3 linked regions of the Coturnix japonica genome follow. The protein of the gene in region 3 interacts with the protein of the main gene of each other region in a pairwise test. Links are inferred from orthologs where the notes say so. Each region holds a gene or a part of one and is shown on either strand. Other genes may lie near its edges.

Evidence for each region.
Region 1: the proteins of MAPK9 (region 3) and SHMT1 interact in binary tests that used the Homo sapiens proteins (3 or more experiments, as listed by UniProt). The two-hybrid records come from large-scale screens. The link is inferred for Coturnix japonica from reciprocal best matches to the Homo sapiens genes MAPK9 and SHMT1.
Region 2: the proteins of MAPK9 (region 3) and LNX2 interact in binary tests that used the Homo sapiens proteins (3 or more experiments, as listed by UniProt). The link is inferred for Coturnix japonica from reciprocal best matches to the Homo sapiens genes MAPK9 and LNX2.

What each region holds. Positions count from the first base shown.
Region 1 is NC_029529.1:5,126,820-5,135,005, forward strand, and holds the start of SHMT1 (serine hydroxymethyltransferase, cytosolic), read right to left. Parts: upstream 4,541-8,186; 5' UTR 4,443-4,540; intron 3,723-4,442; 5' UTR 3,700-3,722; coding exon 3,598-3,699; intron 3,172-3,597; coding exon 3,026-3,171; intron 2,671-3,025; coding exon 2,555-2,670; intron 2,465-2,554; coding exon 2,304-2,464; intron 2,192-2,303; coding exon 2,110-2,191; intron 1,819-2,109; coding exon 1,606-1,818; intron 1,416-1,605; coding exon 1,299-1,415; intron 1,046-1,298; coding exon 923-1,045; intron 778-922; coding exon 661-777; intron 502-660; coding exon 391-501; intron 201-390; coding exon 31-200; 3' UTR 1-30. Other genes in the region: chemokine-like receptor 1, read left to right, coding at 6,449-7,534. UniProt on the Homo sapiens protein: Interconversion of serine and glycine.
Region 2 is NC_029516.1:157,556,075-157,564,262, reverse strand, and holds the start of LNX2 (ligand of Numb protein X 2), read right to left. Parts: upstream 4,142-8,188; 5' UTR 4,019-4,141; intron 1-4,018. Other genes in the region: protein POLR1D, read left to right, coding at 4,463-4,488.
Region 3 is NC_029528.1:4,142,149-4,149,540, forward strand, and holds part of MAPK9 (mitogen-activated protein kinase 9), read right to left. Parts: intron 7,254-7,392; coding exon 7,088-7,253; intron 6,122-7,087; coding exon 6,050-6,121; intron 5,802-6,049; coding exon of another isoform or gene 5,730-5,801; intron 2,210-5,729; coding exon 2,027-2,209; intron 1,139-2,026; coding exon 1,014-1,138; intron 523-1,013; coding exon 459-522; intron 1-458. UniProt on the Homo sapiens protein: Serine/threonine-protein kinase involved in various processes such as cell proliferation, differentiation, migration, transformation and programmed cell death.

The sequences.
Region 1 (8,186 bases), on a different chromosome or scaffold from region 3:
TGGCTCTGAGAGTGGGCACAGTGCCTCCCATTACAGGACTGGCAGTCCGGGGAGTGGGAAGGTTGCTGCGAATGCCTCCACCTCTTCCTTCAGTGCCTTTAGCTCTCCCCGGTATTTTTCCTCCTCTAGTTTCTCCTTGAATTCCTTCAGTGTTGCCTTAGGGCTCATGTCCTTCTGCACACGCAGCGTCAGCTCAATGCCTGCCAGGGTGGGAGATGTGTGGCTCAGCCCCATCAACAGGCAGGTGCCACGTCCAGCAGCTCTCTCAGCACTGCCATGGCTGCCATGGTTGGGGCTGCTCCCCACGACGCTTGGGAGAGGAGGAGCTGGGCTGACAAGGACTCACTGCCCTGTGCCACCACCACCTGCTTGAGGAAATGGGACCCTCACCTTTGTGGATGTACTGAGCCACCTTGCGGAAATCGTCCTGTCGAAAGCCCCGGGAGGTGAGAGCTGGTGTCCCGAAACGCAGACCACTGGGACGAAGGGCACTGACATCACCTGCAACAGAACAAGCCCTGTGTGACCTCACTGCATGGAAACATAGCCTGGACCCCAGGGGCTGGGAGTTCTGTGAGCTCTTCATGGCCCTGGGGGAGCACAGGGCACAAGAGACATCCAGGCAGATGGAGCAAGATATGGAGCCTGTGGGATGCCTACCAGGGCATGTGTTCTTGTTGCAGGCGATGGAGCAGAGTTCCAGCACCCGCTCGGCCCGGCCTCCATCAGTGCCTCTGCTGCGCAGGTCCAGGAGGATGAGGTGGTTGTCAGAGCCCCCTGCAGAGAGAGGGGAGTTGAGGTGAACACTTGAAACATCAGCAAAAGAAAAAAACTAGAAGGCTCAAGACTGTTGCCCCAGTGGTTGGCTCAGACCTGGGACACGAAGCCGGCCCCAACGCGGGCAGCTGAGGCTGCTCCTTACCTGTGACAATATCATAGCCCAGCTCCATCAGTGCTGCTGCCAGTGTCTTGCAGTTGGCCACCACCTGCTGCTGGTAAGCCTTGAACTCGGGAGTCATGGCCTGCTGCAGGGCCACAGCGATCCCTGGGGATGAAGCACAGCAGTGAGCTTTTGAGGACCAACAAAAGTTATCTTGAAAGCTAAGGAACCTCATGGACAGTCCCTTCCCCTAATCATGCATAGGAACAGCCTGATTTCTCCCTCAGCTGCATCAAATTGGCTGCTCTTTGCTGCTGTACCTCTCAGCTGGAGCACTCTGCCCTGATACTGGGGCTCAGAGCTGAGCCAGGATGTCTTTGTACCCTCCTCACCATCCCAGCCCAGTGCAGGTGTATACCTGCGATGGCATGGTTGTGTGGCCCTCCCTGCAGCCCAGGAAAGACCGCTTGGTTGATGAGGCTCTCCAGGTTGTAGAGTGTTTCCTTCCCTGTCTTGGGGTCTGTGCTGCGGGTGCCTGTGGGAGGAGAGAGCAGGGTAACATATAAGGCAGCTCAGGAAGGGAATTATGCTTGTTCTTCAAATCTGAGCCTTTGGGATGTCCCCAGTCTTTCTGCCCTTCCTATTTCCCAGCAGGAGCAGGAAGGAGCTTTAACCTGCAGCTCCCCTGGCCTGGATGGAGTGCTTCCATGGCTCAGATCAGGCACCTTTGCGATAGAAGATCATGCCGGCCCTGCAGCCCCTCAAGGTCTTGTGGGTGGTGGTGGAGACGACGTCGCAGTGTTCAAATGGTGAGGGCACAACACCAGCAGCCACCAGCCCGCTGATATGGGCCATGTCGGCCATCAGGTAGGCGCTGTTGGCGTCGGCAATCTGTCGCATGCGGGCATAGTCCAAGTTGCGTGAGTAGCAACTGACACCTGCAATAGGACAAGAGGGAATGGCCTCAAGTTGTGCCAGAGAGGTTCTGTTTGGATATCAGGAACATTTTCTTCTCTGAAGGAGTGGGCAGGCACTGACACTGCTGCCCATGGAGGTGGTGGACTTGACAACAGAGGTCTTTTCTATCCTTAATGATTGTGTGATCCTTGTGGGTCCATTCCAGCTTGGGTTGTTCAGTGATTCTGTTCTATAATTCTGCAGCATCCCACTGCAATTGCCCACTGGTTTCAGGATGCCATCCCAACTGGTGTGTAAGCGTCGTTCCTTACCTGCTATAATCAGCTTGGGGTGGAACAGACGGGCATTCTCCTCAAGTTGGTCATAGTCAATGTAACCAGTCTTGGGATTCACCTGGGAGAGGAAGAGGAAGGTTCAGTCACCTTGGCAGGGGTGAAGATCAGTTGCTGTCAAGAGGTTCTTTCACTTATGAAGGCCTGGCTCTCACTGGAGCAGCTTTCCATACCTTGTAGGGCATGGACTCAAAGAATACAGAGGTTGCAGAGATCTTCTTCTTGTCCGTCATGAACCCATGGGTCAGATGGCCCCCGTCAGGCAGGTCCAGCCCCATGATTCTGCCGTGGGGCTCCACCAGGGCCGTGTACACCGCAAAGTTAGCGGGTGACCCTGTGGCAGGAGCACACGAGGCAGTTCAGAGGTGCTGGGGCATGCAGAGGCCAGCACAGCCTGTGCTGCCTCCCCTGGGGATGCCGTTACCTGAGTAGGGCTGGACGTTGACACCCCACTTCTGGGGGTCAAGCCGGAATGCCTGCAGGGCTCGCTTCTGGCACAGCCGTTCCAGCTCATCTACAAACTCTGTCCCGCCATAGTACCTGCAGGTAAAGGATGGGGAAGGAGTTACATTGAGGTTGGTGTCTGCTGAGAACAAAACCTCAAGGTTAAAACTAATCTCTTCATTTAGCAATGTGTACCCAAGGCAGTGCCAGCTGTGAGACCAGGATGCTGCTGTTTGCAAGCAGCAGACATGACCCTGCTACAATTACCTGGTGCACGGCCAAGGACAGAAGCTGAGAGGGTCAGATCCTGTCCTGCAGGAGCTTGGTTGCCAGCACCAGGACATGGCTTCCTTCCCAGAGATGAGGTCTTGAGGTGAACATGACAATGCAGATGGTCCCTGCCCCCTCCCTACAAGAGTGTGTGTGTCTCAGGCTCTCCCCAGCCCCGTACCTCTGTCCAGGGTAGCCCTCAGAGTATTTATTGTTCAAGCAGGATCCCAGCGCCTCCAGGACTGCGCAGCTCGCAAAGTTCTCTGATGCAATCAGCTCCAGCCCCAGCCTCTGCCGCTGCTTCTCCTTCTTGATGATGTTGTACACCTTGAGGAGGGAGAGATAGCTTCACTTGTGCCAGCTCTTCACAGAGGTGTGGGTGCTGCATGGCATGGGATGCACTCTCAGAGGAGTCAGGATGGCAGAGAGCAGTCTGAAAGCCACTGGAGAAGGGAGGTGAGGCCCCTTCTTGGTACAGCTAATCACACGTCCTGCCACATCCTGAGTTTCTGTGGTAGATACCACAAAGCCATCAGGTAATTCAGCTCTTGCTTGGGCTGAACTGTGGCTGCAGAGTTCTGGGCCTGGTGCAGGTGTCAGAGCTCCAGGCAAAGAGTTATGAGCAACGGCTGAGAAATTACAGCCACAGCATGTGCATGTTGGTTGCAAGGCCCAGGGCTGGCTGAATCCCAGCAGCTTTAGCCTTGCTCTGTGCTCCTGGTTCAAGGAGGTTGGTGTCCCAACAGCTCTCACCTCAGGGTCATTCCTGTCGAGTGGCTCCAGCAGCATCTTATTGTGGGAGGCCCAGAGCTCTGCGCTGGGGAGGCTCCCAGCACCCTGTGCCATGTTCGCCATCTGTCCGCTGCCTCTGCTGCCACCTGCAAAAGGCACAGGGAGGGTGTTTATTGCAGCAACATGGCCATTTCCAGTGCCCTCCTGTTCTCCTCCAGCCTGGATATCACACAACCGAGGTGTGTGGCTTCCCTCTACCCCTCCCTCATCCTTACACTTGGGGAAGTGGGGAGCCCATAAGCACACATGCCAAACTCCAGCAGTACCATTTCATTGCACTCAGGCTTTAGACCTGATCTTGCTCTAAGCCCAAGGCAGCAGCAGCCCCTCAGCACCAAGCATTGCCAAACAGCACACAAACTCCTGAGCAGTCAGGGCAGCCCAGCTCCAGCCCTGGCTGCACACAAAGTGTCTTTTTATCCATTAACCCCGCAAGGCCGCAGAGGGGCCGTGAGCTGGTTGTTAAGCAATCCGCTCCGTTCAGCAACGCGGCCCCCGCTGTGCTCAAAGGCCCGGCTGTCCCGGGGCTTCACTGGCAGCGGGGAAACGCTGTGGGATATGCGTGCTGAACCGAAGGAGCGTTGTGAGGGGTGCTGTGCGAATGCACACTGCTGGCAAAGGGCTGCAGAGCACAAAGCTGCCACGGAGAGCCCCACTGCCACCCTCCTGGTGGGACGTGAGCGGGGGCACGGCCCTGGAGCTTCACCCGCTGTGTCCCACATGGCCCCATCGCATCCCATACCCAGGACCCGGTACCGCCCCGCTCCCACTCACTCTCCCCCTGCCCGCCCCGCATCGCTCCGCACCGATTCGGATCCCGGTCCCGGCCCGCTCAGCCGCCCCGCGGCAGCCCGCGCTCCTACAATAGGCTGCCGCGTCACACCCCTCCGACTCTCAACCAATCAGCGCCCGAACATTGAACTCCGCGACAACTCTTGGTCCAATCCGCGGCGCGCTCCGCCTCGTCCCGCTCCCCATGACCCGCGCTCAGGCGGGGCGGGCAGCGCTGCCGGCACCGGGATGACCTTGGCCGGCCAGGGGGGCTGCGCCGGGCACCCTAACACCAACCCCAACCCTAACCCTAACCCTAACCCTAACCCCAACCCTAACCCCAACCCTAACCCTAACCCCAGCCCCCCTCCCCAGCCGACATCCCCTGAGCCTTCCTGCCGGCCATGGCAGTTCTCCATCCCTGCTGGCGGGGCGATGCGCTGAGCACAGCGGGTGAGCTGTGCGTGGTACGGTGTGGGAGCCCTGCTGCTCTGCGGGGTGTCCTGGTACCTGGAGGAATGTTTCAGCCTCGGAAGGATGAGGCTTGCAGGCAGCAGCACTGTGTGCTTCACACACAAACACGAACTTGGGTTTGGTTGGCCTGACCCAAGAGACCACGGTCAGAGCTTCAGGGGTTAAATCAGAGTGCTGCAAATTGAGGAACAGAGTTAGGGAATCATCAGTCCCAGTAAATTCCTTGTGATCCCAAGTGATGGAAAAGCAGAGCGTGCTCCGTGAGTCACAGCGGTGAGGAGCAGCTCTCAGAGCAGTGGGGCTCTGCAGTGTGTGGGGCTGGAGCGGAGCAGTGCTGCGGTGAGTGCGGCCGGGTCCTGGTGCTGAGGGGTTGGTGTGTGGGTACAGGGGTGGCTGCTGCACCACAACTCCCCACCTCGGATGCTGCTCTGCCTGGGGTGTATGTGTCCTTAGTGCTTTTCTCCCAGGTAACAGTGGTAGGACAGAAGGTAATGGCTTTAAGTTGCATTAGGAGAGGTTCAGGGTGGATGCTAGGAACAATTCCTGATCCAAAAGCTGCCCAGGGAGTGATGGGGTCACTGTCCCTGGAGGTGTTCCAGGGCTGTGGAGATGTGGCACTGAGGGATGTGGTCAGTGGGCACGGTGGGGTTGGGCTGGGGTTGGCCTTGATCTTGAGAGATCTTTTCCAACCTTAATAATTCTATGATACTGTGATAGCTGTTGAAGGAGCCATCTTTTAACTTGATAATTCAGTTTTTAGCTCTGTTGATTTGCCTTCCATCACTAAATAGTTTGGCCACAGCTGTGCAGTTTGGCTCTTTGGAGTCCTGCTCTCAGCCCAGGGCTGGCTGCTGTCACAGGCTGCTCACAGATGAGTTGTTCTGACACTGCCAATGCCATCGGCAGAGCCTGGGCTGCTGTCTCGGGTCACAGGGTGACAGGGAGACAGGGCAGATGCCAACCCTCTGCCCACAGCCCCGTGGGCCCGCTGGTGTGGAAAGAGCTGCAAGCAAAACCATCTTTGATATCATTTATTTTCTGCTTCTCAGTGTCAGCGGGCTGCCTGTCAGTGCGGGTGACAATCTCTGTGGGCATCCAGGGACTTCCCAAGAGATGAGTAATTTGTTTCAGTCTTGGCAGGTCCCTGTTAAAGCCTGCAGCACTGGGACTGAGTTGTCCCCGTGGTGGCTGATCCTCTGCTCACGTGTCCCCTTCCTGCTGCCATCATCCTTTCACGACAAGATCAGATCAACTCAAAGATCAGATCAACTCAAAGATCAGATCAACTCAAAACTTTCAGACTGTCCCCCTCCCTCTGTGTTGGCTCACTCGGATCTTGCTCAAATAGCTTGAATTCCTCGTGCCTCACAAGTATTTATCTGCCATTCTGAAACTTTAGATGTTCTATAGAGAAGTGTGTTCATTATTGAGTCACTCTTAGTACTTATTTCATCATTGCATATCCATTTTGTGTACAGTCACAATCAAAGGTTCTCCCCAGAGCTCTGGGAGCTGCAGATAATCGCAGTGTGTGCTGTTATGGTTTCAGGAGCCCAGCTTGCTGGCAATGGAGAGCGTCTCTTCTTCCCCATCACCCTTCCCTGACAGCTCCCCCTCCATGCCCTCTGGGAATGCCACAGCCTACGACCACTACTCTGGCCTCCAGAAGAGCCTGCACATCCTCTCCATGGTGGTGTACAGCATTGCCTGTGTGCTGGGGGTGACGGGGAACGGCCTCGTCATCTGGATTGCAGGCTTCAAGATGAAGAAGACAGTGAACTCAGTGTGGTTCCTCAACCTGGCCATCGCTGACTTCATCTTCACCTTTTTCCTGCCCCTCAGCATCGCTTACACCGCTCTGGATTTCCACTGGCCCTTTGGGAAGCTGCTGTGCAAGTTGAACAGCACCATCGCCTTCCTCAACATGTTCGCCAGCGTCTTCCTCCTGATGGTCATCAGCGTGGATCGCTGCGTGGCCGTGGCCTTCCCCGTGTGGTCCCACAACCGCAGGAGCCCAGAGCTGGCAGCCAGGGTCGCTCTGGGGACGTGGGGCATGGCCGTCCTGCTCAGCTCCCCGTACCTCATTTTTCGTGACACCGCGGTCAGTTCCCGTAACATCACCAGCTGCTATAACAACTTTGCGCTGTCTGATGACTACACGGCCGAGGAGACACGGAGGCTGTGGAGGATGCGGCACAAAGCGATGATCATAACACGGTTCTTATGTGGGTTCCTCATCCCCTTCACAGTGATTCTCATCTGCTACAGCGTTGTTGCCGTCAAGCTGAAAAGAAGGCAGCTGGCCAGCTCTGTGAAGCCGTACAGAATTATCATTGCCGTCACAGTCTCATTCTTCCTCTGTTATTTCCCCTACCATGTCTTCTCCTTGCTAGAAATATCTCAAAACTCTTCCAGTCATGAGATGAAAATGGCCCTTTACATAGGAATCCCCTTGGTTTCCAGCCTCGCTTTCTTCAACAGCTGCATAAACCCCATCCTGTACGTCTTTGTGGGGCCAGATTTCAAGGAGAAGTTTTGCCAGTCCATCCTGTCGGCCTTCAAAGGGGCCTTCAGTGAGGAGTCAATGCTGGGCAGCCTGAGCAGCAGGAGGAAGTCCAGGTCTGCCTCGGAAGCAGAAGTCCCAAGGCTCTGAGTACCCACTCAGTACTGGGTGGGTTCAGTATGGGCACCACTGCAGGGCAGTTTTCTCCTCCTCTCCTTTCTTTCTTTCCTGATTTGTCACAACATCCCATTTTTAGTAGACGACCCTTTGTAAAGGTCACTAAGTCTGTGACTTTACTGACAGGGCTCCCTTTATTTTCCCTTCTCTCCGGCATCCTTCAGCCATGAGAAGCAGCCTCTGAGTTCAGTGGGGTCACCTTGTAGGTACCCGACTCTGCATCGCTACTGGGTTCATCCCCAGGCCATTCCTGAATGGCAAGTTAGCTGCTGCGAGGATGTGTTGTTCTCTGCATTTGCCAGGCTTTCCTGGCAGCCAGGCTTTGCTGGGATGCAAAAATTGTGGGGTTCCACCAGGGGGCAAAATTGGATGCAGGTGTGCTGGCAGTGTGCACAGTCTGTGCTTTAGCTGAGCAAGAGGATGGAGGGAAGAGCTGCTCCATAAATTCCTTATAATTAAATCAGCAAAGAAAATACATCTTTTCCTGCGCATCATGCCAGTCTGCTGCTAAATTTTAAGTAGGAAATGATTAAATTACAATAAAAGCAGCATGAACATGCAGTGGGATCTGTCTGGAGGCACTTTTGCAAATGCAGCTTTTAAAGCAATAGGATTCAATGAGGTG
Region 2 (8,188 bases), on a different chromosome or scaffold from region 3:
ACCCAACAAAAGAACTACAACAGGAGAAAATGATGATGTGGAGAAGGGGAGTAAGAACAAAAACGCATTAGAGGACGGACCATTGATAAGTGAAACAGCAATTAGGCATCCCCTGAATGAGGTAGCATAGATTACAGTTGTTTTTTTCTTTTCCCTTATAACTTGGAGCCTCCAAATGTGTAAAGGCATCTTAAATCAAATCCATAAACATAGACCATATGAGGAGCTACTTGTGTTGGAATTGAAATGTGATCAGCATCAGAGCATGGGGGGGATTCTTAGTTTTGCTTTGGTTTTGCATGTGCAGCAGGTGGCAATGTCAGGGGAACGATCCTGATAACATCGCTATGCCAGCGGAAAACTCAGTATAGGTCTATTACACAGACACAGAGAACATCTGCTGACGCAGCTCATTTCCTGTGTCAGTAAAACAAGGTACCCAGACAGAAGCACACTCACATTGTGACAAGCTAAATGCATTGACTAAGAAGGCTCACTGATAGCAGCCAGCCAATCTCCCCACGCCTCCCCCCAAAATGCCTACCAGAAAACTCATGGCACATTTGGGTTTTGAAGTGTTGCATCAGAACAGCTCACCACATGCTGGTCCTTATTGAACAAACAACACTGAAAAGTAGTTAAGCATTAGAGAACCTGCAAGGAAATATGAAGACACTCTTTACTGTGGAATGAAGGGAAAACTGCCAGGCAAATGCAACACCCACCACCCAACCCAAAGCAAAGCAACTCCACCTTTCCACAGACTAGCAGGCAAACATTAGCTTAGAACATAATATTCAAAGGATCACAGAATTATTTGAGTTGGAAGGGACCTTTAAAGATCATCTAGTCCAACCCCTCTGTAACAAAGCAGGGAAACCTACAGCTCAATCAGATGCTGAGTCCCATCCAGCCTGACCTTGAATGCCTCTAGGGACAAGGCAACCTGCGCCAGAACCTCACTGCCCTATAAAAAATATCCAACAAATTTATAACCTCTCAGTTGCTTCATTGACTGATTTGGTTTGCTTTACTGTAATGACATTGTCCAGAGATTCTTAACAAAATACTGGGAATCCAAAACAACATCACTGCTTGCTTCCTTCAAACAAAAAGGAAAAGGCAAATACTGAGCTGAGTTACCACAAGGAACCATTAAAAACAACAACAACCACCAAAACACTGTGAATTGGGTGGGGGACTCGCAGAATAAGAAAATGTAACTTAGAACCTTCTCTTTTCGCAGATTATTTGATCTTAGAGTTGCACTGAAATAGAGGTACACAGCCACCTCTGACTAGTTTTAGGATAACCCAAGAAAGATCCTACCTACAAGCTAGTAATAAGAAAGGAACAGCTTACTCCTCACTCCCAGGGCCTCATCCAACCTGGCCTTGACCACCACTAAGGGATGGGCTGATTAAAACATAGAGCTTAGAGATCAAAAGGGGCAGACATCCAGGCAAGCCTGCGCCACCACAACAACCTGATGGACACAGCAGCTGCTGGCAGCACATCAGAGCATCCTGGTCCAGCCCAACCTGCACCCACAGAGCAGGCAGCATCTCTCGTTGCCAAGCCAGGAGCCAACAGCCACTTGTACTGTTACATGCAAAAGAGAGCGCGGTCAGTATGAAAACACATGACAGGTTTAGCCTATGAACTTTGTGAATATAAATCCTGACCCTGAAAACGTTTACATGCAGGCTTAGCGCTAAGCCTAAGAACAGGCCCACTAATTCCAAAAGAAATACTTGGATGCTTAGAATTAAACATATGTAAGTACACAGATCTGTAGAATTGGGGACAGAAAAAAGCACACACCACAATTTGATGGGTTTTTATTGCTCTGTGGATACCACAGTGTAGCAAGTACATCATTCATGATATTTACAAGAATTTTCATCTGCAACATGCCCTGCAGCTCCTCAGCAAACGCCACTGACCTAATAAAACAATTAAGAACCACAAGACTTGACGGTGCCATGTTAAGTTGTTTCTGCAGACCAAACCAACTGAGAATTTTCCAGTCCCGGAGACAGGCCACAGCTGCATCTGATCAGTCACCAGGCGCCTCTTACACCAGGGAGCATCTTAGCACAGCACGAGTGCTGCTTTCTTACCCATTGCAGACCATAATATCTCACGGCTTTTTAAGCAAGCAGCATCGGGCTGATTTATGACACCAATTTGTATTAATCCAATATCTAATATATATCATACGCTTAAACACTTCACTTTTAAAGTGATATCACTGGTTACCACATCTCCTTAACAGTAGCTTTCAGCTACATCAAGCCATTCATTTTAAGAGCACAGGAAAAAGTGAGATTTTAAAAAGAGGGGGGATATTTTCCAGTGTTATAGCTGGAAGCCAACAAACCTCTACTGCTTTCAGTGAGACAAGCGCACAAACAGACCCCCAGTTTGAGGCTCAGAGGCCACGCAGTGCGGGTAAAGGCTCATGGCAATGCCAGGTTTTACTGAGGTCACCAAGGCTCCTGTGAGAGCAAATGCCCAATGTACACAAAAACCAGCAGTATCAAAGCCAGCATTTATGCGTAATAGGTTTTCATAGGCTTCATTTTTAAATGAACCTCACTGTCTCAAGAGAGCAGAACTTTTCACCCAGGAAGCTGCGGGCATTTCTCTTGCAAAGTCCACTGTTAAGCTGCAGCTTAATATTAAATGATGCTTTGGTTAATGAAAGATGTAAGCCTGCCTTAGGCAATAATGTTGATTTAACCATTGTAGACCCAAGTCCAAGGCCCTGGATTATCTCTTGCTGAAGTCACAGACCAGAACTAGAAGCCAGGACAGTTACAAGTTCATTATAGAAAGCTCTCATTAAAGAAAAAAATGTGCATTTTATAGGCACTTATTCCAAGATTTTAGAATTTCAATAATACAAGCACTTAAAAGCATGATATTTTTCTTTAATATAAAGAACTTCAAAAGCCAACAAAACCTTAGTTGAGCACAACTGCAATCCTTACAATTCCCTGCATTTGGAGTCAACCATATAGAACTGGCTTCAGGAAAGAGGGGATTCCTCACTTTAGAAGTCAATGCAAGAAGGTCCCAGTCGGTTTTGTTGTTCCCAAAGGTGTGCTCACAAACCTTGTCTCTGGAGGGATGGTAATGAAGTCACGGCAGCATATGGCACCGCCGTGTTTGCTCCCAAGTGCACAGCCGCTAACCGGAGCCATCTGATGCTCCCCCTAAGCTCCCTGATCTGCGGTGGGATTGAAGCTTACAGCAAAGCTTCGTGGAGCCCAAAGGAAGACAATGGTTTGCAGACACACAGAAATCACTCATTTACTTTAACGGGGGCCCAGCTCGGATCTGGGTCTCTGCTGAGCAAAAGCTCTGATGCGTTTACGAGCAGGAGTGCATTTCCAGAGAGCATCAAACACGACCCAAAGCCGATCCGTGTCATTTTCCCGTCGCACACAGAGAGCAACGAGATCACGTAATTAAAATAGGAATTAAACGAAGCTCGGGCGTACTTAATGGTGGATTCCTACAGCAGGAAACAACCAACGCCCCGCACCGGGAGCGTGGTCACAGGAGCCCCATGGGGCCGAGCAGCCTGTCAGTGCCATAGCACTCCCTACCCGCTCGGCTGAGCACCAACACACAGCGAGGAGCAGTAACACGGCACGCCTCGGGAAAGTTCACAAGGCGCCGCACTGCAAGTTTTCCAACCGCACCTTCGGTTTAAACGAGAGGGGAGAGAAAAGAGCAGCCTGGCATCGATGTGTGCGCTCCGGCGCTGCCCACAACTCTCCCTGCCCTCCGCCCTCCCCAGGCAGCGGTAACGCGACTCCGGAGTCACGGCTCCAGCACAACTCCCCGAAGCGGCCCGGCGCTGCTCTCCCCCTCCCGCACTTGTTGCGGCCCCGCAGGCCCCGCCGCAGGCCCGGCCCTGTCCCGGGGGAGGCCCCCGCCCCGCGGAGCGCAACGAGGGGCCGGGCCGCCCCCAGGGGACCGAGCGCGTTGCGGGGCACGGACTTACCACGGCGGCACCCGGCTCCTCACGGCGGCAGCCGAACTCCGGGCGGCCACTCGGCGCGGCGCCTCCCTCCCCACCGCCCGGCCCCGCTCCCCGCCTCCCCCGGGGCAGCGTAAGTGACGCCGCGCTCCGCCACTCCGGCGGCAGCCCCGGGGCGCGGGGCCGGGCGCGGGGCCGGCTCAGCCTATGGCGGAGCGGCCGAGGCGGGACGCACCGCAGCCCCGGGCCGGGAGGGACCCTCCGCCCTACGGAGCGCAACCCGGGGCGGGGCGGGGCGGGGCGGGGCGGGGTGGGCAGCGCTGCCGCCAGGGCTCCATCCCCGCCCCGCCCGGCACCGCCCCCTCCCCGCCGGATCCGGAGCTGCGCCTGCTCGCTCCGCCTCGAGGAGCTGGGCTGAGAGCGGCTATGGCGTCTGTGTCAGCGTGAGGAGCCGGGCTGTAGTCTGCCATGGAGGAGGATCTGGAGTTGGAGAGGTGAGGGGCGGCCGTACTGTGCTGCGGGTTCTCCTTCGCTCTGGGCTGCGCTTGTAGGGCCAGTGAGGCCTTGGGGCTGGTCCTGTGTCGGCTCCCGGCCTGTAGGGCCTGGCTTGTGCGGCCTGTGCTCGGCCCTGAGCCCTCAGCCCATTGCTACGCATCTCTGCGTAATGCGGACCGCTCTTGTAATGTCATTTATACGCGAGAGATTTAAAAGTCGTATAAATGGGTGGTTAAAGTTATTTGGTTAACGCGTAGAGGCTGAACTTTTTGCAAGCAGCTGCATGGAACTGTTACAGCGAAGTGATGGCTGAGAATCTCATGGTTCCGTCTCATAACTTTTAAGAAATGTGTTTGAGAGTGCTGATGGGAAGGCCTGCTAAAAAGGACCTGGGGGTACTGCTGGATCACAGGCTAAACATGAGCAGCAATGTGCCCTGGCAATCTAGAAGGCCAACCTGTGCTGCATCCAAAGCAACATGGCCAGCTGGCCAAGGGAGTGATCCTGCCCCTCTGCTCTGTGCTGGTGAGGTCTCACCTGAAGTACTGGAGAGACATGGAGCTGTTGGAGCACATCCAGAGGAGGGCCACAGAATGACCCAGGGGATGGAATGCCTTCCTACAAGGACAGGCTGAGAGAGCTGGGGCTGTTCAGCCTGGAGAAGAGAAGGCTCCAGGATGACCTGAGAATGGCCTTTCAGTATGTGAAGGGGGTCTATAAGAAAGAAGGGGACAGATGCTTTAACAGAGTCTGTTGCAGTAGGACAGGGGGATATGGTTTCAAAGCAAGAGAGTGGAGACATAGATTGGATGTAAGGAAGAAGTTCCTTTACAATCATTGTGGTGAGGCACTGGCACAGGTTACCCTGGGAGGTGGTGGATGCTCTGTCCCTGGAAGCTCTCAAGGCCAGGCTTGACAGGGCTCTGATCTAGCTCTAGATATCCCTGTTCATTTCAGTGGGTTGGAGCAGGTGACCTTAAGGGATCCCTTCTAGTGGAAGTGATTCTCTGTTAAGTCACTTCTTTCAGCTTAGATCTACCACATCTTTGAAATGAGATACGTATGATGCCACTGGGGTGGTGGGGGGGATAGAGAATGTAATGCTTTCCAAGAAGCCTTAATTCTTGGTAGGGCACTTCCTCACTCAGATCATCAGTTTAATTATTAAAGCTTCTTTCTATATAGACACAAATGCTCTTTTTGTTAGTGCCACTCCAAACCTAAGCACTTTTTGCTTGCAGCCAGTGCTTTGTGTTTCCACTTCTTAAAGGGAGCTTATAAGCAGGAGGGAGACTAAAAGTTTTACACAGGTAGTAGTAGGAAAATGGGGAGCGGTTTTAAACTAGAAGAGAGAAGTCTTAGGTCAGATATTAGGAGGAAATTCTTTACTTAGGGAGTGGCACGTCACTGGCACAGGCTGTCCAGAGGTACTGTGGGAACTATAACTATTTTTGTATGTGTTTTTTCAGGTCTGAAGTAAGTTTTGTTTCTTAACATTCCAGACTGGGATCTGCTAAGAGAAGCTACTTATCTATAGTTGTTTAGGAAGAGTCTTCATCCAGCTTGCCTTGTTTTTCCATGTCTGACTCATGCTTCATCTTGCATCTGATGCTTTCTTCACTTCATAGGAGTCTCTGTAGAAGGGGAATGCTCACCTGCAGGTTACAGTGCAACTCTTGCATAGTATGGATTTAAAAAATAAGGAGTAGTCTTAAAATCAGTGAAATATTACTGTTCACTGCATTTTACTGAGTTATTTCCCATTTCACCCAATAACCTTTGTTGGAAGCATAAGCTGGTGTTTTTTCCTCTGGTATGTCAGTGCAGATCCAGACTGTAAGCCAGAAATATCTTGTGATCCTAAGGAAATTCTGGGATTAATCCTGTTAGTGTATAATGATGATGTTAAGGTATACCCAATAGTCACTACTATAAACCTTATGGATCAGCTACCAGAGGCTGGTTGTTTCTGCTATAAGCATGTGTACTTGCTTTTGCTACTTAATTTCTACTGCATATCCCCATCTCTTCCTCCCCCACCTCCCCTTCTAAATGGTCTCTGTGCTTTGTGTCTTTGTTGGAAGCACAGGGAGAAAAAAAAAATGAGGTTTCTCTGACAGTGTAAAGGAAGAGATTTTATATTACCATGTATCAAAACTGTTCTATAGTCAGATCTGCCTCTCATTAGCTATAAATATTTCAGAATCTTATTAGAATTGCCTACCAAGCCTTCTTGGAGCATCATCTCGGTAGTAAGTGTTTCCTAAAGGGGATACTGTTCTAAATTCCAAGACCATTACTGGGTTTAGTAACAAGAAGCCTCTTGTTGAGTTGAGAATTCATAGCCATCTTGCTGCACAGATGTCCTAATTACACTCCTTAACAAGTAAGCTTTGCACCTTGGTAAAATTAATTGACATTTCTTGCTATTGTTTTTAACAGTAAAAATAGAAATGTCGTAATTAGGTCATTATTTCCCATTTTTTCCCTATCTCCTATGGCAAAAATTGGTCTGCAAGCTGATATTGTTTCAGATTAGATTAAGTGGTATCTTCACTGTTGAGAATATCAGCGTGGAAATGTTCTGAAAATAGCACTTATGAGACTGACAAATGGAATATTTAAACAAGCTACAATCTTGATCTACGAAAGATGGTTGTGTCAGCATGCCCCATGTATGTTCAAAGGCAAAGATGCTCCACATTGAGAACTTTGGGGTGTATTTGTGCCTTAATTTATCCTTGCTCTGAGTGTTCTGGCTTAGGCTTCTTTTCTGGCATCCTGATTGCAGTAAGTACTTTACCATTGCAGTTCTTTGAGGTCTTGAATAATAAGATGATTACATGAATGGCAGTGGCAGTGTTAGTGAACTTTTGTGCTTGTGGAGGTATAAGGGCAGCAGGAGGCCCTACACACCACCTTATTCCAGCTCCCCCATCCCTGGTGCCACCAACCCACAGGGCACCAGAAGCCCAAGGCCAGGACAGGAGGGATGAGCACCTCCATCTATTGCAGTGACTCAGTGCTGCAGCACCTTTGGGACTGAAGGATGTTGCTGCCTGGGATATGGGACATGTGAGATGCTGAGGAGGAGCATTTCAAGGTTGCTCAAGGCTTATTATGGGATGTTTAGGGGGAAACCAAAGGCAGGGAAAGGGGTTGATGTAGGTGATTTAGGAAGGGAAAAATAAATGAGTAAGGGAATAAAAAGGAGTGGTCACCTGCGAACAGGCTGCTGGCAGTTACATGTGTCTGGCCATGCATGGTCTGTCCTGCCTGAAATTCCTTTCCAGCTCTTTCCTGCGTGAGGGCTCTGTTCTGTGGGCCTGTGAGTGCAGTACCTGGGAGTCGGAGCAGGGTCAGAGGGACCTTGTGTCTGTGTTGCCAGCAGCTGAGCTGGGACCAAGAGCTGTCAGGTTGCTGCCAGCACCTGGGGAGACTGGAGTGGGTGACACTATGCCACTGGGTGGCAACTAGTGCAGTGAGAGAGGGTCCCGCATGCCTGCAGTGTGTGTGTGTGCCTGCTGGCTATGGATTTTCAGCTTTGCTGCAAGTTGGACTTGGGGCACAGAGCTGTAAGGCTCTCCCAGGCTGCCGGACCCAGCATGATTTATTTTCCCCTAACAGTTTTGTCTATAATTAGAAGCATTTGACGGTCTCTATGTGGTGTTTTCATTGCCTGTAGCTGTATCTCATGTA
Region 3 (7,392 bases):
GGAATAAGAGAAGAGACAGAAAAAACATTAAGATCACAAGGGATTTAAGCACTATTTATAAATGTGTAATGGTACAATTAAATAGTGACAGGTCCATCTGTAAGTACCACTATATGGGTCAGGACAGATTTAGGACACAGCACCTGAATAAAATATCACAGACTTCTAAATGTAACAAAGCTCCATTACTTGTTTCAGATCTCGATGGTATGGTACAAGCAGGATGGCTCACCCTCAACTCTTCTAGAGGAAAGGATTTACTACAGCGGATCATACATACATGCATGAATATTTCCTCCAAATAGCACATTTTTCCATTATCAATTTATTTTCACATCACCATAAGCAGTATTGCACATTTTGAATAAGATCCAGTCAGTTACACAATCCAGCACACGCGCAACAGGAACACACAGCTCACAGTACAAGTTACGTCATTGCTCATGCTCCCTTTTTACCTTTCCATTCTTCAATTGCATGTTCTCTCTCTTCCAGCTGTGCATCATAAATTTGAGGTGGAGGCTACAAAGAAAATTAAGTCTACACGTTACCTATTATGTTGCAGGCAAAACTAAAAATGGTGGCTTTCTCAGCCAATTGTTACCTCCCTCTGGCAGTCTATTCCCTACATCTCCAATTTACATTCATTTCACATCTCCAGGCTTTAGATTCTACCTCCCACCAAAATGCTGCTTAAAAGCATCAACTGAAAATGAACATTTGTAAGGTCTGGCAGGGCCTCAGATGAAGCCCACTACCCAAAATAAAGAACATCACCACCCTGCAGGCAACACTTTCCACAAAGGGAGCTACCAATAATCACTTTCAAAACAGCATCAATTCCACTCCACCGACAGTTCTTCAGGTGGTTCCACCTCAAACATGAACCTGAATGCTTACGTGCATCTCACTAACCAAAACACGAGTTCAAAGCACGCACTTGGATCCAAACTAAAGTTATTCTTAAAACTGTTGAACTGATATCTTAAAATTTATTTTAAATGCAAACTTACAGCTTCTGCTTCAGCTGGATCATACCAGACAGTAATATAAGGGTGACGTAAGGCCTCATCAACGGAAATTCTCTTGTCTGGATCTACTACAAGCATTTTTGATAATAAATCTCTAGCTTGACTGGCTAGAAAGTAAACATCTGACAAAGCATACACAAACAGATCTCTTGAGCTTCAGTGCCTCCCAACAAGTTCCATTTGTTGGTGACATGCGAATACTTAACTTCTAATCCCGCAGAGTTAAATAGGTCTCACTGAGCACTGTTTTTAAGTCAGCAGAGTAGGACTGGAGCTGCACGTCTCGCTCAGTACCCAGCAGCATTAGGCTGCACTGCCAGGACAGGCACAGCGACGGCAGATTTCTTTCAAAAGGAGGTCACAGTCCTCTAATGTCAATGTTATTTTACTGTAATCCAAAACATAAACCCTGCAGCTGACATAAACCAATCTCAATTCTGAACAGCTACGCTGATGCACAGGTCACAGTTTGTCATCAACTACTGCTCATAAGCCACATTTTGAAGTGCATAGTAAATGGCAGCGCCATTTGACTGGCAGTTCTTTTTTTTGTCTGAACTAAAAATGCTGTATAATAAAATAAGTTGCTGTAGCCTATTTTGTATAAAACCTCGTGTCTGCCCATAGAACTGATTTTTTCAACTTCTTGGTCATTTATCTAAAGCAGCTGACATGAATTACATTCCCATATGAACCAGAAAAACATAAATAACTCTAACAAGTGCTACTTTCAGAAACATTTCAGCCACAAACATTATTCAAGACATTCAAATGAAGTGAATTAAAGAGAACAGTGAAATATCTCCGTATTTCTGAGCTAATATTAATAAAAATCAGAATCTGTCATATGTGAAAAAAACCAGCAGGTATGGAGCTTATGTCAACACCCACCGCAATACAGATATTCTAAATTAGTTGTTGTTTTGTTTAATTAAATGTATTGCAAACATTTTAAATTAACACCTTCAGAAGAAGAAAAAAAAAATCTGTCTTACTTTTTAACTTGTCACGGTCAGATTCTGATGGAAATATCCAGTCTGGGAAGAGCTCTTCAAATTTAATACCTGGATATTTTGGCCTGTTTTCTACATAATTCCTCACTGTAGGCTGTAATTTCTTCATAAATTCTGCTGAGGGCGTTCCTAGTTGTTCAATTACTTTATTCCATTGATCAATATCTGCACCACATCTTTAGGAAAATCAGCTGCAGAATTTGAAGTCTGCGCTACACAAAAACATCACTTGCAGAAATCTGAAAAGCTGAAAGCCTGAACTAATAATAAAACAAGAACTCCAATCTAACATCAACAACATTCTAGAACTGCTGTGGAAAAAGCTACGCTGGCAAAAATCTAAAATATCAGTTTTGTAGGATAGGGACAGACCAGAAATGGTGCACAACTCATCAGGATTAAATATCTGCAGTGAATTGGTACCTACTGGCCAGTTCTGAAAACATGGCTTTGGAAGAGTCGAAACGAAGGTTTGTTCTTTAATTACACCCATAACATAACAACTATGGGGACAGAAAAGAAAGAAACACAAAGGCTGCTAGTGAATGACCTGACGTACATCTAACTGTACCAGATGTAAAAATACATAAAAGAATACATAAAAGAATACATAAAACGTGGTATTTCTTTTACATATTTCTACAGTATCAACAATGCTAATACAGTAAGTTTATTCAGTTCAACACTTCCCATTTTTCCTGATGAGGAATGTGCAGTTCTAGCAGTCTAACCACAAACCTTCCAAACGTATCTGAACTCAGAATCTTTTCTTTCAAACTATTGATTCTTACACCAGTTTCTTAACAAGACACATCCACTGCACTTTGAATTGTAGTTAACACACACTACAGTTTAAGAAGCACTTACTTTTGTTAGCATGCCAAAAATACATCCAGAAATATCCTTCCTGCTAAAGCTTTAGACTTCAGATGCAAAGATTGAAAACAGTATCTGCTTATTCAATACATTCCAGTGGAAACACAATATTAAAATAAGAATTAAGAAGTCAGTATTATTAACTCTCATGCTGAAACAGAGCACATACAAAGCAAGTTTTGACACATGCCAGGAAATTTTGTTGGAAAAGTAATTTGTGCAAGAAGTCCACCAATCCAGATTCAAGAAGGGGTTGATGATTAGAGTGGCAGCTAGCCAAATTCAAGGGCATTCTATGGTGGTTTGAAGGTGGGGGACCTATTTCACTTCAGTAATAAAAATGTGGGGAAAAAAACCTGACAAAATATTTTCTCCAGCATAGGTTGGATATGAAATAAGCAATGTCCATAATCAGAAACTCAATCAGGAGAAAACCTTAATGCTGATGCAAAGCATGCAGCGTCCCTCCAATAACCTTGCAGTCTGCAGACAAAATTACCCTTTCTGTTCAACTAATGACCCCAATCTCAAAAGTAACCCAGAATCGTTCAGTCCATAGCAGAGTGCCTGTCTGCTTTGCGAGACTCTGGGAGAAAATGTTGAAAACAGAGTCCTTATTATAATCAATTAATAATAAAGCATGACTTTTCCCAAGAAATCATGACTATGCTCTCATGCTTTTTCCATCAGTCAGGCAGTTTCCTTTACCTCCTGCACAGAAGAGCACTGAAAACATTCTCTAGTGCCTCTAGGCTTTCCATTACTTCATCTCCAGTATCTACGCTGGGTGTTTTTTCTACGTTTTTCATCTCTAGTTCAACAGCAACTGCCAGCTTCTCAGCTCAGGCTATGGCCAGGAGCAGGTTCAGCCCATCCTCCACCCTGACGGTGCAGAGCATCTCAGCCCAAGCAGGGCTCTGTTGCAACACTCCAAGAAATCCCTGCTGACCATACAGCAACGTACAAACAACTGGATCCGAGAGCAGTTTCTCCTGAAGACAACCACAGGCACATCATTAGGCTTGGTTCCCTGATCAAAATACCAGAACGCTAAGACATATCAAAACTTAATTAAAAAACGGAAAATCCCAAGGCCGTGTGTAGCAGCATCCATCCCCCTTAACCCCTGTAGTCAAAACAGACTTGTGGCTGCAGCTAGAAGAAAATGACAATTATTCCAGACCAAACTGATAACTGCATAAGCCAACATGACTTATCTGTCAGTATCACACATTAAAGGGAACTGAAAGACTCAGAAGGAAAAAACCCTAAGCACAGTTATGCATTTTGATAAGATAGAGGGGCAGACTCTTTGAAATATGGACTGGTGGAGCTTCAGCGACCTCCAGTGAGCTACAAATGGTAACTTGCATATATGAGTACAAACAAAATTTCCCTCCTTTTTCATGAACAAACCAAAACAGCCCATGCTGACATGCAGATGAAGGACACATAACATATATGAAGAATTGTGTTAGGTTGGTCTGAAGGCTTTAAAAGGTAAAACAATATAGAAAGGAAGAAAGGTAGAAAACAGACTTATTTAACAATCATTTATGCAACTAACTGATAAACGATCAACTGCTGAAGATTAATTAGTGTCATGAAACTTTGAATTTAAAATAGCCTCTACAAGACATATAGCTATGAAAAGATCATAGGAGCACATACTTGGTATTCTAAGTGGTGGGCCCAGCTTCTCCTTGCTGACAAGCAGAAATATTATACAATGTATTATTTCAAAAGCTTGGACCACACGTCCTTTGGTTTTGGGTGCCTTACAGCCCAGTTTAATTGTATCTTCTGCATTCTATTTACTTACTGACCAATTTGGAATATCTTGCCCTGGAACACTACTAATATGCAAGACTATTTTTTATAAAGGATGAAATTGGTTTAAACCCAAGTTTTCCTTTAACTGGAGCTTGATAATGAGTTTTTAATCATTTTTCTAGGAAATTCTTTTAAACACATACAATTATTTGAAGAATATGTATTTGATTAAATGTTCATTTCTATCCACCTCACAAAGTGCAAATGCTCCTCTCTGATCCAGTAATACGTTGTTGAGATTTCCCAAGTCTAAGGGCACGAGGGCATAAAGATTTTTACTTCTAATACAGAAAGGTGCTCACAGTTTCTATCACGTAACAAAATACAACTCTGTGAAGATGAACTTGGGTCAAAAATACTGGAGGGAAAAGGGAAAGAAGGATAATCTTATAGAAAAAGTAAGTCCAAAATAAAGTTTTCATAAAATGATAACAAAAATTTTAAGAAATTGTTTTTCTATTAAATAATAATAGTAAGAAAAAGAGATTTCATGCAGTGTACTTGCAATTAGCACTCATTGGACAGCAGCATCCTAACGAGTGAGAAAAAAACCTGGTTGAAACTGAAAAAACTCGTACATTAAAAAATAAGTTGAACCAAATAGGAAGCCAAACCCATGCACAGTAAAAGCTAACTTAGTAGATTTCTGCTTCTAATACTTATCTACTAAGAACAACAGTAAGAAAAAACAGGTAATGCTTTGGGTTTTTTTTTCCCTTAACCTACCAGCATTCTATTAAAGATAGAAAAGCTTAAGCTGTTAGTATAAATTCTACAGATTCAATCAGTACAGATTACAATAAATATAGTCTGCTAAGAAAATAAAATAGGAAGCTCAACAATTTGGTCAATGACACTAATTCCATAGCTTACAGCAGATCTACTAAAACATGGTTGAGAACAGTGCTTTAAGCTTTTATACAGATCAAAGTATGTTCCTGGTGGAAGTGGTTCAAGGATGACTAGGGAAGGATACGATCAGTGCCTTGGAATATCACACAACCTTTCACCAATTCTCCCATGATGCAACCAACTGACCAGATATCAACTGAAAGTAAAAATGAAATGATCAAATTATGAAGTATCATGAACAAAAGTGAGGAAAACAAACAAACAAACAAAATGAAGACATCTAGCATCTACGGTAAAATACAACAACGTGGAAAACCAAACTGCTAACAAGAATCTTCAATCATTTCAACGCCAACTAATTAAACTGTTGCTACATTTTGTTTTCAGCACTTTGCAAAATATTATCAGCATTTACACTTCTGAAACGACCGTGCAGAAGGATACAATCTCTTCCTGGGAACAGGACTTTATGGAGGACCATTTCTGCCATAATGCACCCAACAGACCAGATATCCACTATCATATGTTAGGTGTAACAAGGACAAAAGATTAAAGAGGTTTTTTAAGTATAACAATTATTAATTTGTAAATTCACACTCTTTATCTATAGTCGTGCAGATAAGTATTTTTGTCCCATCCAGAACTGCCTCCATAGACGTTCTCATCCACGTGAGCACTTGCAGTAGAACAACTGCCACGTGCATCAGTGTACATTTTTCAGTGGCTCAGCAAGGTCCTGCAAGTCCCTTGTATCACACAGCTAAAGTATCCCCAAGCCCCAGTGAATAACCGAAAAGATGTACTAGGTTAGAAGACCAGAGGAGGCAGAATGTTACTTCACAGCCAGTAAATACCAGCAAGTAAAACAGTAATGTGGGTCAAGGACAGTTTCCTTGCCAGTAGTTTTGTTGGCTGAATGTTCAATATATAAAGCCTTTGTAAATATAGTACAACACCCAGCCTCTTTAAGTGCTATTTATATAGATTTAGGGGAATAAACTACATGGTTTATGGGAGAATCTGAAATAGATCTTTAATGAAGTCATCACAGACACTGGGGGGACAGACTTAGAGTATGCTTCACAGTAAAAATCACAATGATAAAAAGGTTTATTATTTTACACACTGATCATCGGTTAGTTGGTTTTCTAAAACATCATGCAGCATAGGTTTCTCATAGATTGGTATATAGGTAGGATAAAGAAAAATGCAATAGGACAACAAAGGAAAAGGTAAGACAGCAGGGAAGCAGGAACAGAACATGCTAAATGGAGATATGGATACGGTAGAAAACTCTTATTCTCCACAAAATACTTATTGTGCATTTTATTTTTATGTTTTAATAATCTCCAGTAATGTGATTAGCATTAAGAATAGACACAGCAGAGGGAAATTAGCTCTGTCCCAGCCTTTTAAAGCTATTATGTTTGGAGACACATATGCTTTAGACAAACAATTTAAAGCATCACTCCAGTAACTTACCATTCTCTTTATATCCCATTCCAAGGATAACCTCTGGCGCTCTGTAATATCGTGTTACTACATATGGAGTCATCATAAAATTAGTACACGCCGTTCTTGCCAGTCCAAAATCAAGGATTTTGAGTGTACAATCTGATTTTACTACTATGTTGCTGGGTTTCAAATCCTAATAAGAAATTACTGCAGTTAAGGAAGGATCTACACACTGAATGATACACCCCCCCCCCCCCCCCGAAGTCAATAACATCACCAGTTTACCCCATGACAGCACTTTTACATTCGTTTGCATTCACAAGAATTTGAAT